Linked DNA regions of Arabidopsis thaliana. The protein of the gene in region 1 interacts with the protein of each later gene in a pairwise test. Each region holds a gene or a part of one and is shown in the gene's direction. Other genes may lie near its edges.

Region 1 (3,300 bases):
TCTTCTCTCATCTTCTCCTTCCTGCTCGTCTTCTCATTACCACCCATCTTCTGGTCTCGGAAGCCATCTCCCCCTTAGACGACCCAAGAGCCAAGTGGTTCGTGTCAAGGTACAAATGTCTTGCCTTTTAGCTGATTCTGTCCGTAAATCGTATACCCTTTTGGAAATTGAGACTCTTGAGCCCATTTCTGATCTCTTGTTATTCGATTTGGTCTTTCGCCTCTAGCTAGAGCCTAAACGTGAATTGTGACCTTAGCTCACTGTTATGTTCTCATTCCACTTCAGATGTTTAGAATTTAGTCTAAAGTTTCAGTTTTTTTGTTAGAGACGGTGATGCTATTGATTGCTTTGATTAGATGGTGATGCTTTCGGCCATAGTTTTATGTTTCTGATGTGGGTTTGTGGTGTAGGTAGATGAAAATGTAGCCGAGACAGAGCCACCGAAATGGTGGGAGAGGAATGCTCCAAACATGGTCGATATTCATTCTACTGAAGAGTTCTTGAGCGCTTTAAGCGGTGCGGGTGAAAGATTAGTTATTGTAGAGTTTTATGGAACTTGGTGTGCTTCTTGCAGAGCATTGTTCCCAAAGGTTAGTGTCATGTGACGTATCTATTCCATGAAACTATAAGAGTTTCATTTCTCTTTCGTGATTCTGTGAGAAATTTAGATGTTTTTTTTGTGTCTGTTTTGAAAATGTTTTCAGCTTTGCAAGACAGCGGTGGAACATCCCGATATAGTGTTCCTTAAAGTAAACTTTGATGAGAATAAACCGATGTGCAAGAGTTTGAACGTGAGAGTGCTTCCTTTTTTCCACTTTTACCGTGGAGCTGATGGTCAGCTTGAGTCATTCTCATGTTCTCTTGCTAAGGTAAAGAAGGCTATTTCGGTTTCACCTTTTCCGCAACTAGAGCTTGGCATAACGCTTCAAACAAAGAGAACTACTTCGTTGTTCTTTTTCGATAGGATCTATCAAATATTATAGACCCTTTGCTGATATTGATACCAAAACCGGTTGAATGCATTTGGTCTGTCTCTGATTACTATTTGACATCCTCTTCTTTTGAATATTTGTGTGTATTCAGTTTCAGAAGATAAAAGATGCAATCCAACTGCACAATACCGATCGTTGCAGCCTCGGTCCAGCCAAGGTACCTGAAGGCTTAACATTAGCCAAACCAGCTGCATCAAGTTGAAGTGCCAGATTTTTAGATATATTACTAAGGCAACAATCTTTGGTTGCTCAAGCAAATACTCAGCTTAAAATTCTGTATATCGTCATATTTTTGGGTGTAAAAGAATACTTCCTAAAGCCAGTTACGATTCTTCTGCTAATAGTCAATTGCAAATGTATTTTCACTACTGCTGTTCTTTATTGCTTTAAAGCAAGCTTATTGATGAAGTCATGTGAGGTTGCATAAGTCTCATTTCCATAGTTTTGGGGTAAATTTATAACTTTCTCAACTTACCGAACGATAGTGAAAAACAAATACATAGCACAATGGTTACAATAATCATGTGTTGTGATTACAATTTACAAATTTACAAGAATCATATCAAATAAGATTTTTTAAAAATTTACAAATGTGAGCTCAAGACTTTTAAGTGTTAAAGATAAGTTAAGGGCTGAAAACTAAAACATGTAGGAATAAGAGGACTGTTTGGTAAACGTTTTAACGTTTAAAGTCTTGCCTTTTGATATCAGATTTTTCTCAGGTTCCCACGCGCCGCCGCGAAACAGCTAGACGGAGAAATCCAAAATTCGGCGAAGGTTTGAGAAGAGAGAAATCTGAGAGATGCAAGGAGTGTGGAGCCAACTATGGAGGAAATATGCTGATTATAAGTACAATAAGTTCGAGAGATTTGCTGTTTGGGAAATGATCGAACCTTACCGTCGACCAAAAACCTTCACAACTTTGATTACTATCTATGTCGCCGCCTTTTACACCGGCGTCATCGGCGCTGCAGTTACAGAGCAGCTCTACAAGGTCAGCTTCGTATTGTTATCGATTCAGGCCCGGAATTGCTATTAGATTTGTGGGTTCTAATTTGATTCTCGTGATTGGTAAATGTTAGGGTTCGAAATGTGATAAAATTGGAAATGATTCATTGTTGATTACTAATAAAGGATTGTGTGATCATGAAAAGAACTATACTTGAATTGCTTTTCATGGGAATGGTTCATTAGGTCTTTCAATGAAGCTTTTACGTCTTGATTAGTATCTAATCTAATTCATTGTTCTGTAGTATATTGTATTCTTTGTCAATGTGTTTCTTACACTGTTTTGTGTTAGTATCAGTTATGTTTCTTGTTTGAGTGTGAACTTTATGTTACTCCACTCTCTGTAAACAGGAGAAGTTTTGGGAAGAGCACCCAGGGAAAACAGTGCCTCTGATGAAGCCAGTATTCTATCGAGGACCATGGAGAGTTTATCGTGGTGAGGCTATTGCTTCAGATGCTAGCAGCCAGTGAAGCTAACGATTAGGCTATCAGAGACTATGGTGAAGGATGTATCTCCGACTTTGATACGCAGATATAAATGGATTTATACTGGTTCACTAGTATATGTATATCAAAAAACTTCTTTTGGTTCAGTAGAATGTTTGTGTCTGTATTTCGAGTCTAATGACTCTCTTAAGAATCTATTTTCTAGAAATTACATGTAATGACAGTCTCGTTATAGTATAAGGATTTGATTTGAGAAGTTTAAGGGTATCCATTCATTCCTTTGAATATCTCTGCTTGTATCTGCCTCTCTTCTGGTGTCCTGAAATAAAACATTCCCAAATAAGATAGATGATCTAACTACCTCAGAAACATTGAGCCAACACAGATTTTTCTCTTCAAATTAGGTTGCTTCACATTCTTTAGTCCATATAGATTCCTCTGGGGACGTACTCTGTTTCTTTCCTTCCTTTTTTTTTTTGTTTGTTGCTTGTGAAAGAATATGACAACCTATGGCACTATACCATCCCAAGAAAATGCTTCGTCGAGCCTGAGCTTATTAGGACGAGCCAAAGAATTGATCTCGTTAGGTCTTAGCTCTCAAAGGCCATGGCTTGAACTTGTCCAATGTAGTGCCTTTAGCCTTCCTATCTCCTTTAGCGTTGCCACTGAACGAATCAAATCCAACATCATGATCTTTCGAACCAACTACATTGTTATCTTCATTGTTAGTATCTTCATCAGCATGCTTTGGCAACCCGTCCACCTTTCCGTCTTTGTTATCTTGATAGTAGCATGGCTATATGTCTACTCCCGTGATAATGAACCATGGGTGATATTTGGCAGTGTGATCGAT
Region 2 (6,530 bases), on another chromosome or scaffold:
TCCTAACATTTTATGCTTGAGTTTTATTTATTAGATTGTGTGGCTAACTCCTTTGGTTTAAAAAGTTTAAACAACGAAAATAAATCGCTTTTACGAAATTGAAATGTGGTAGAAATTAGATAAATTGAAATTTGGGGGGACAAAAAATTTAAATAGATTTGTCGGCAAGGAAAAAGAACGATTCACGAAAAAAAAAGGAAAAATAACGATTCACAACTACACTTGGAATTGGAATCGTGTATTCTTTATAAATATAGACCACTAGCTAACAACGAAAAAATTCATTAATCGAATTTCTTCAAAAGCAAGATACTCTGACTTCGAAAGATTAAACCTAAGTGTTCTCTCGGAAAATCCATCATCATGTTTCTGTCTTCGAGAACTATTTTTGTGGGTTTGTGTTTTCTGTTCGTTTTGGCTCCATGCTTTACTAGAGCAACAACCAATGAAGTTCAAGTTAGCTGCGACTCTCACAACTTCAACAATGGCAAACACTTCCGTTCATGTGTTGACCTTCCTGTGTTAGATTCGTTTCTACACTACAGTTACGTTCGAGAAACCGGAGTGCTTGAAGTTGCATATCGTCATACCAACATCGAGTCTTCTAGTTGGATTGCTTGGGGCATAAACCCGACGAGCAAAGGCATGATAGGTGCTCAAACACTTTTGGCTTACCGTAACTCCACGTCCGGTTTTATGCGTGCATATACTTCCTCAATAAATGGCTACACACCTATGCTTCAAGAAGGCCCTCTGAGCTTTCGTGTAACGCAACTATCCGCTGAATATCTCAATAGAGAGATGACTATATTTGCCACTATGGTGTGGCCGTCTAACACAACCGTTGTCAATCATTTATGGCAAGACGGTCCGTTGAAGGAAGGTGATAGGCTTGGGATGCACGCCATGAGTGGAAATCATCTCAAATCCATGGCTAATTTGGATTTGTTGTCCGGACAAGTCATGACCACTAAAGCAGCTAATGATAACATGTTACTAGTCAAAAGCATTCATGGACTAGTGAATGCAGTGTGTTGGGGGATTTTCATACCCATTGGTGTCATGGCTGCAAGGTACATGAGGACCTACAAAGGACTGGACCCCACTTGGTTCTACATACTAATCCTCTAAGGATCTAGAAGTTGATCAGACGGTTTGCATTGATGTCTATGATGTCTAATTTCTTAAGGTTGACTTAGTAGTTATATTGCTAGTTTGCTATTAGCTAAGCCTAGTTCGTGTGGCTGTCAAAAAAAAAAAAAAAAGAAGCCTAGTTCGTGTGTAACGTCCAAAAAAAAAAATCAATTAGAGATTAACGATTTTGAATTAAGTACTAAATACAGATTTATGTTTTTGAGGCATTAATTAGTTTTTCTTTCTCCTTTTCAAGTTATGGGAGACTTTGGGTATGTAAACGATTTGTCCAAAAAAGATTTTCCCTTTATAAGGAAGCTTAAGGAGGATGCATTGAGGATTAGTGTTGAAGCCAAGCAAAACATAAATATCATTGCATTTGAAGAATTCTCACTCAAGCATCATTCTCATTATCATTCTTAAAAATTGAGCAACCAAATTTTGCTCTCTTTTTACATTTTAACTCACAAATACCATATTTGACACTAAAAAGATCTCACTTCTATTGTTAAATAAACATTCATTTTAGTTAAATTGTAATTTATAATATTAACTTGACACTGACTGTTAGTGCATTCTGATGACCACTAAGTAAAGTACCTACGAGTCATCATCATTGACATCTTCACACAGACACTCATATTATATAAAGAATGAATTCACTCACAAATTAGGAAACAATATAGAACAATTAGTTATATATGTTCTTCAGATTTCAATCAGGAAATTAGAACATGCTCTTTTGGGTTTTGCTCAGTAGTTTCTGTGTGTTTTGTTTCTCCAGTCCAGATGGTATGCAGATTCTAGACTTTGTCTCACATTATTTGTACTCATTTTGCCTTCAACTGTTTGATTGAATCTTTGTGATGGAACAGGTTTCTTGAGCTTATCATGTGGCGGCTCAAGTTACACCGCTGCTTATAACATCTCATGGGTTTCAGACAACGATTATATCGAAACAGGTAACACTACCACGGTTACTTACGCCGAGGGGAATTCTACTTCCAGTGTTCCCATCAGATTATTCCCGGATCCTCAAGGTCGCCAATGTTACAAGTTACCTGTGAGGAAAGACTTGTCTTCAGTTCTGATTCGTGCTACATTCGTTTATAGAAACTATGATAGCCAGAATAGTCCTCCAGCATTTCATGTCTCTCTTGGAAGGAGAATCACTAGTACTGTTGATCTTAGAACCAATGATCCTTGGATTGAAGAGTTAGTTTGGCCAGTCAACAATGATTCTCTTTTGCTTTGCTTGCTTGCGGTTAAAGGAAGAGGTATTCCGGTTATCTCTTCTCTAGAAGTACGGCCACTTCCTTTAGGTTCTTACAAATACAGCCTGGAGGGTTCACCAGATATAATTCTCAGGAGAAGTTACCGAATCAATAGCGGATACACAAATGGGACTATCCGGTAAGAATTCTCAGGCTCTAAACTTTGATCGCTGTCTCTTTCTTTGGTGTGTTTTGTTGAATTTTCTTGGTGAATTATGTTGAATGGTAGGTATCCTTCAGATCCATTTGATCGAATATGGGATCCGGATCAAAGTTATTCACCGTTTCACGCCTCTTGGAGCTTCAATGGACTCACAAAATTGAATTCCTTCAATATTACTGAGAATCCACCAGCTTCTGTTCTTAAGACAGCAAGAATTCTTGCTCGCAAAGAAAGTCTTTCATATACTCTTTCTCTACATACACCAGGGGACTACTACATTATCCTCTACTTTGCTGGGATACTCTCACTCTCCCCTTCTTTTAGTGTGACGATCAATGATGAAGTCAAACAATCTGATTACACCGTAACTAGCTCAGAAGCTGGTACCTTGTACTTTACGCAAAAAGGAATCAGTAAGTTAAACATCACCCTCAGAAAAATCAAGTTCAATCCTCAAGTGAGTGCTCTTGAGGTATATGAAATCCTCCAAATCCCTCCTGAAGCTTCTTCTACCACAGGTACTCTCTTTTGAGGTTGTCTGGATAAAGCAAACTACACAAGAGCCGAAGTTCACCTTTCAAGTTTATATTTTTGCAGTTTCGGCACTTAAAGTCATAGAGCAATTTACCGGGCAAGACCTTGGATGGCAAGACGACCCATGCACACCGCTTCCTTGGAACCACATCGAATGTGAAGGAAACCGTGTTACATCATTGTAAAAACAATCCTTATCATATCGATTGCTTTCAACATTTCTTCATCTCAGCTCATATTTTTCCTTCTTCTGGCTGTCCAGGTTCCTTTCAAAAATCAACCTGAGGTCCATTAGTCCAACATTCGGAGACTTGCTCGATCTCAAAACACTGTAAGGCAATCACTCTTCAACAGTTGTAGTGTCTCATGTATACGTATGTGGTTACCTTGAGTGTTCTCTACTTCTCCGTGCAGCGACTTGCATAATACATCACTTACAGGAGCAATACAGAATGTAGGCAGCCTTAAGGATCTCCAGAAACTGTAATACTCATCCATAGAACATTAACATAATTTTTATGTTTCCTGTAGTACTAAAAAGCTTCTGACGGTATATACAGGAATTTGAGCTTCAATCAGTTAGAATCTTTTGGCTCCGAGCTGGAAGATCTGGTTAACCTTGAAGTTCTGTAAGTCAATCTTATACTGAGAGTTTCTGGATATACGTTCGTTCTTTGTGGAAAATTTTAAAGTATTTCTCCATTTCTTGAAGGGACCTGCAAAACAACAGCTTACAAGGATCAGTTCCTGAAACATTAGGAAAGCTGAAGAAACTTCGTCTCCTGTAAGTAAACATTAACATCAAGAAGTAGCTTGTACATACCATATTCACACAGAAGAGAATCTTTATGTTACTTCTTCTCAGGAATCTGGAAAACAATAACTTAGTAGGTCCCTTGCCACAGTCTCTTAACATAACGGGTCTGGAAGTCAGGTATACACGATTTCTGTCTCGGCATTTGCTACACTATTCTGTTCTTGTGCATGTTACTGAATTGCTTCTTTTTTTCAGGATAACGGGAAATCCATGCCTTTCGTTCTCTTCAATATCATGCAACAATGTGTCTTCAACAATTGACACACCACAAGTCACTATCCCTATCAATAAGAAACAAAGAAAACAGAACCGTATAGCGATCTTGCTTGGAGTTTCTGGTGGAGCCTTGTTTGCCACCTTTCTTGTCTTTGTTTTCATGTCGATCTTCACGAGGAGACAGAGAAACAAAGAGAGAGATATAACCAGTATGGGAACAATGCTTTCTCTTTGCCCCCACAAAGTTGTCCCTTTATAATTCTTATAGTATATCAAAATCTGTATCAGGAGCACAACTGAAAATGCAGAACTGGAACGCTTCAAGAATCTTTTCTCACAAAGAGATCAAGTCAGCTACTAGAAATTTCAAGGAAGTGATTGGTCGTGGAAGTTTTGGAGCTGTATACCGTGGAAAACTACCAGATGGAAAACAAGTTGCGGTCAAAGTGCGATTTGATAGAACTCAACTTGGAGCTGATTCTTTCATCAATGAGGTTTAAGCGTCCACATAGTTCTCCCAAAATTACTGTCCATATTTGAATGTCATGCATTCCAAATCCACGGTCAAGTATACATTCATCTTTAGTGATCCCTTTGTACTGTCTGCGTTCTAGGTGCACCTTTTGTCTCAGATCCGCCACCAAAATCTAGTTTCATTTGAGGGCTTCTGCTATGAACCAAAACGTCAAATACTGGTGTATGAGTATCTGTCTGGTGGATCCTTAGCTGATCACCTTTACGGTATGAAAATCCTCAAGTATCTAGCAATTCTCATCATCTTTTTGCAAAATCATCTTCCTCGCAAAGCTATAGCTGTCGGTGATATCTTGCTTCTGCAGGTCCACGTAGCAAAAGGCATTCATTGAACTGGGTTTCAAGACTAAAAGTTGCTGTTGATGCTGCAAAAGGTACATCTTCAACATCTGCGGATCTGCCATTGGTATCATTATAATAAAACTCGTTTGATCCTGGTAGATAGTAAAAGTTTTGGCTTATTCATGAAGGATTGGACTACCTGCATAATGGAAGTGAGCCGAGAATTATACATCGGGATGTAAAGAGCAGTAACATACTTTTAGACAAGGATATGAACGCGAAAGTTTCTGATTTTGGCCTGTCAAAACAATTTACAAAAGCAGATGCATCTCATATTACTACTGTTGTTAAAGGCACCGCAGGCTACCTTGACCCCGAGTAAACTCTTCTACAATATCTCTCCGAATTCGTGATGGATTAACAGCTTCATTAGCTAATCATTACTCACACTTTTTCATTCCAGATATTACTCTACCCTGCAGCTGACAGAGAAAAGTGATGTCTATAGCTTTGGTGTGGTTCTGTTGGAGCTTATCTGTGGAAGAGAACCCTTAAGTCACTCAGGATCACCAGATTCGTTTAACTTGGTCTTATGGGTGAGAGTAACATAGAATATTATCTTAGTTTCTCATCTCTCAAGTATCTGAGTACACAGTGTCTTAAAAGATCAGAATACTTAAATGCAGGCTAGGCCAAACTTACAAGCAGGAGCTTTTGAGATTGTGGATGATATCTTGAAGGAGACATTTGATCCAGCGAGCATGAAAAAAGCTGCTTCGATTGCTATAAGATGTGTGGGAAGAGATGCATCTGGAAGACCGTCTATCGCCGAAGTTTTGACTAAACTGAAAGAAGCGTACAGTCTTCAACTCTCATATCTAGCTGCTTCAGCACATACAGACTGATAACACATCACAAACAAGAGTAAATACATAACTTGTATTATTTTTTTTTGTTTTTCCGTTTGTGTTACATATATTTGTAATCCAACTGAAAATGTATTTACTCTTATACTAACTACATTTTATCATTAGAACAAGGAGATGGATACTAGAAAGATATATACTAGCAAAATTGAGCTCTATTCCTCCACTAAAAATCTGGCTTCTTCACCACAACTTGGGCTTCACCAACAGACTCAACCACACCATGAAGTTCCTTTACATGGGTAGTCATGCCACTAATTCTATAAGCCTTAACCATTGTCCTGTATGTAATCTTATCAGGTTTGAATCCCTTCTTTTCCATTAGTTCAAGAACACCTTTCATCTCTGCAAACTTTTCCATCCTCCCGTACGCATCTACCAGACAGTTAAAGAACACGAGGTCTAACCTTATGTCTGAGTTCTCGATGAAACGCAATACTCCTCCAATTTTATCAGCTTTACTAGCTCTTCCATAAGCACGAACAAGAGAACATAGTGTAACACAACTCGGGAAAATTCTCTCTGATTGCATCAGTCTAAATAAGTATTCCATTTGTTTTAAGTCTCCTGCCCTCCCAAACGCGTCAATGACCACATTATAGGTGACTATGGTCCATGAATAATGATACTTCTGCATGTATTCCATCACA

Evidence for each region. The genes of interacting proteins can lie anywhere in the genome.
Region 2: the proteins of EMB2752 (region 1) and AT5G48740 interact in a protein complementation assay, tested with the Arabidopsis thaliana proteins (one large-scale study listed by BioGRID).

Annotation. Positions count from the first base shown.
Region 1 is NC_003075.7:14,533,666-14,536,965, reverse strand, and holds EMB2752 (embryo defective 2752), read left to right. Parts: upstream 1-1,609; 5' UTR 1,610-1,794; coding exon 1,795-1,986; intron 1,987-2,351; coding exon 2,352-2,471; 3' UTR 2,472-2,785; downstream 2,786-3,300. Other genes in the region: ACHT2 (atypical CYS HIS rich thioredoxin 2), read left to right, coding at 1-109, 411-590, 705-983; PRA1.C (prenylated RAB acceptor 1.C), read left to right, coding at 2,947-3,300.
Region 2 is NC_003076.8:19,764,653-19,771,182, reverse strand, and holds AT5G48740 (Leucine-rich repeat protein kinase family protein), read left to right. Parts: upstream 1-1,813; 5' UTR 1,814-1,868; coding exon 1,869-1,926; intron 1,927-2,009; coding exon 2,010-2,547; intron 2,548-2,637; coding exon 2,638-3,089; intron 3,090-3,168; coding exon 3,169-3,286; intron 3,287-3,367; coding exon 3,368-3,436; intron 3,437-3,519; coding exon 3,520-3,588; intron 3,589-3,665; coding exon 3,666-3,734; intron 3,735-3,817; coding exon 3,818-3,889; intron 3,890-3,970; coding exon 3,971-4,039; intron 4,040-4,117; coding exon 4,118-4,347; intron 4,348-4,426; coding exon 4,427-4,632; intron 4,633-4,752; coding exon 4,753-4,879; intron 4,880-4,977; coding exon 4,978-5,046; intron 5,047-5,142; coding exon 5,143-5,332; intron 5,333-5,417; coding exon 5,418-5,550; intron 5,551-5,640; coding exon 5,641-5,859; 3' UTR 5,860-5,988; downstream 5,989-6,530. Other genes in the region: AT5G48750 (Cytochrome b561/ferric reductase transmembrane with DOMON related domain-containing protein), read left to right, coding at 364-1,131; AT5G48730 (Pentatricopeptide repeat (PPR) superfamily protein), read right to left, coding at 6,047-6,530.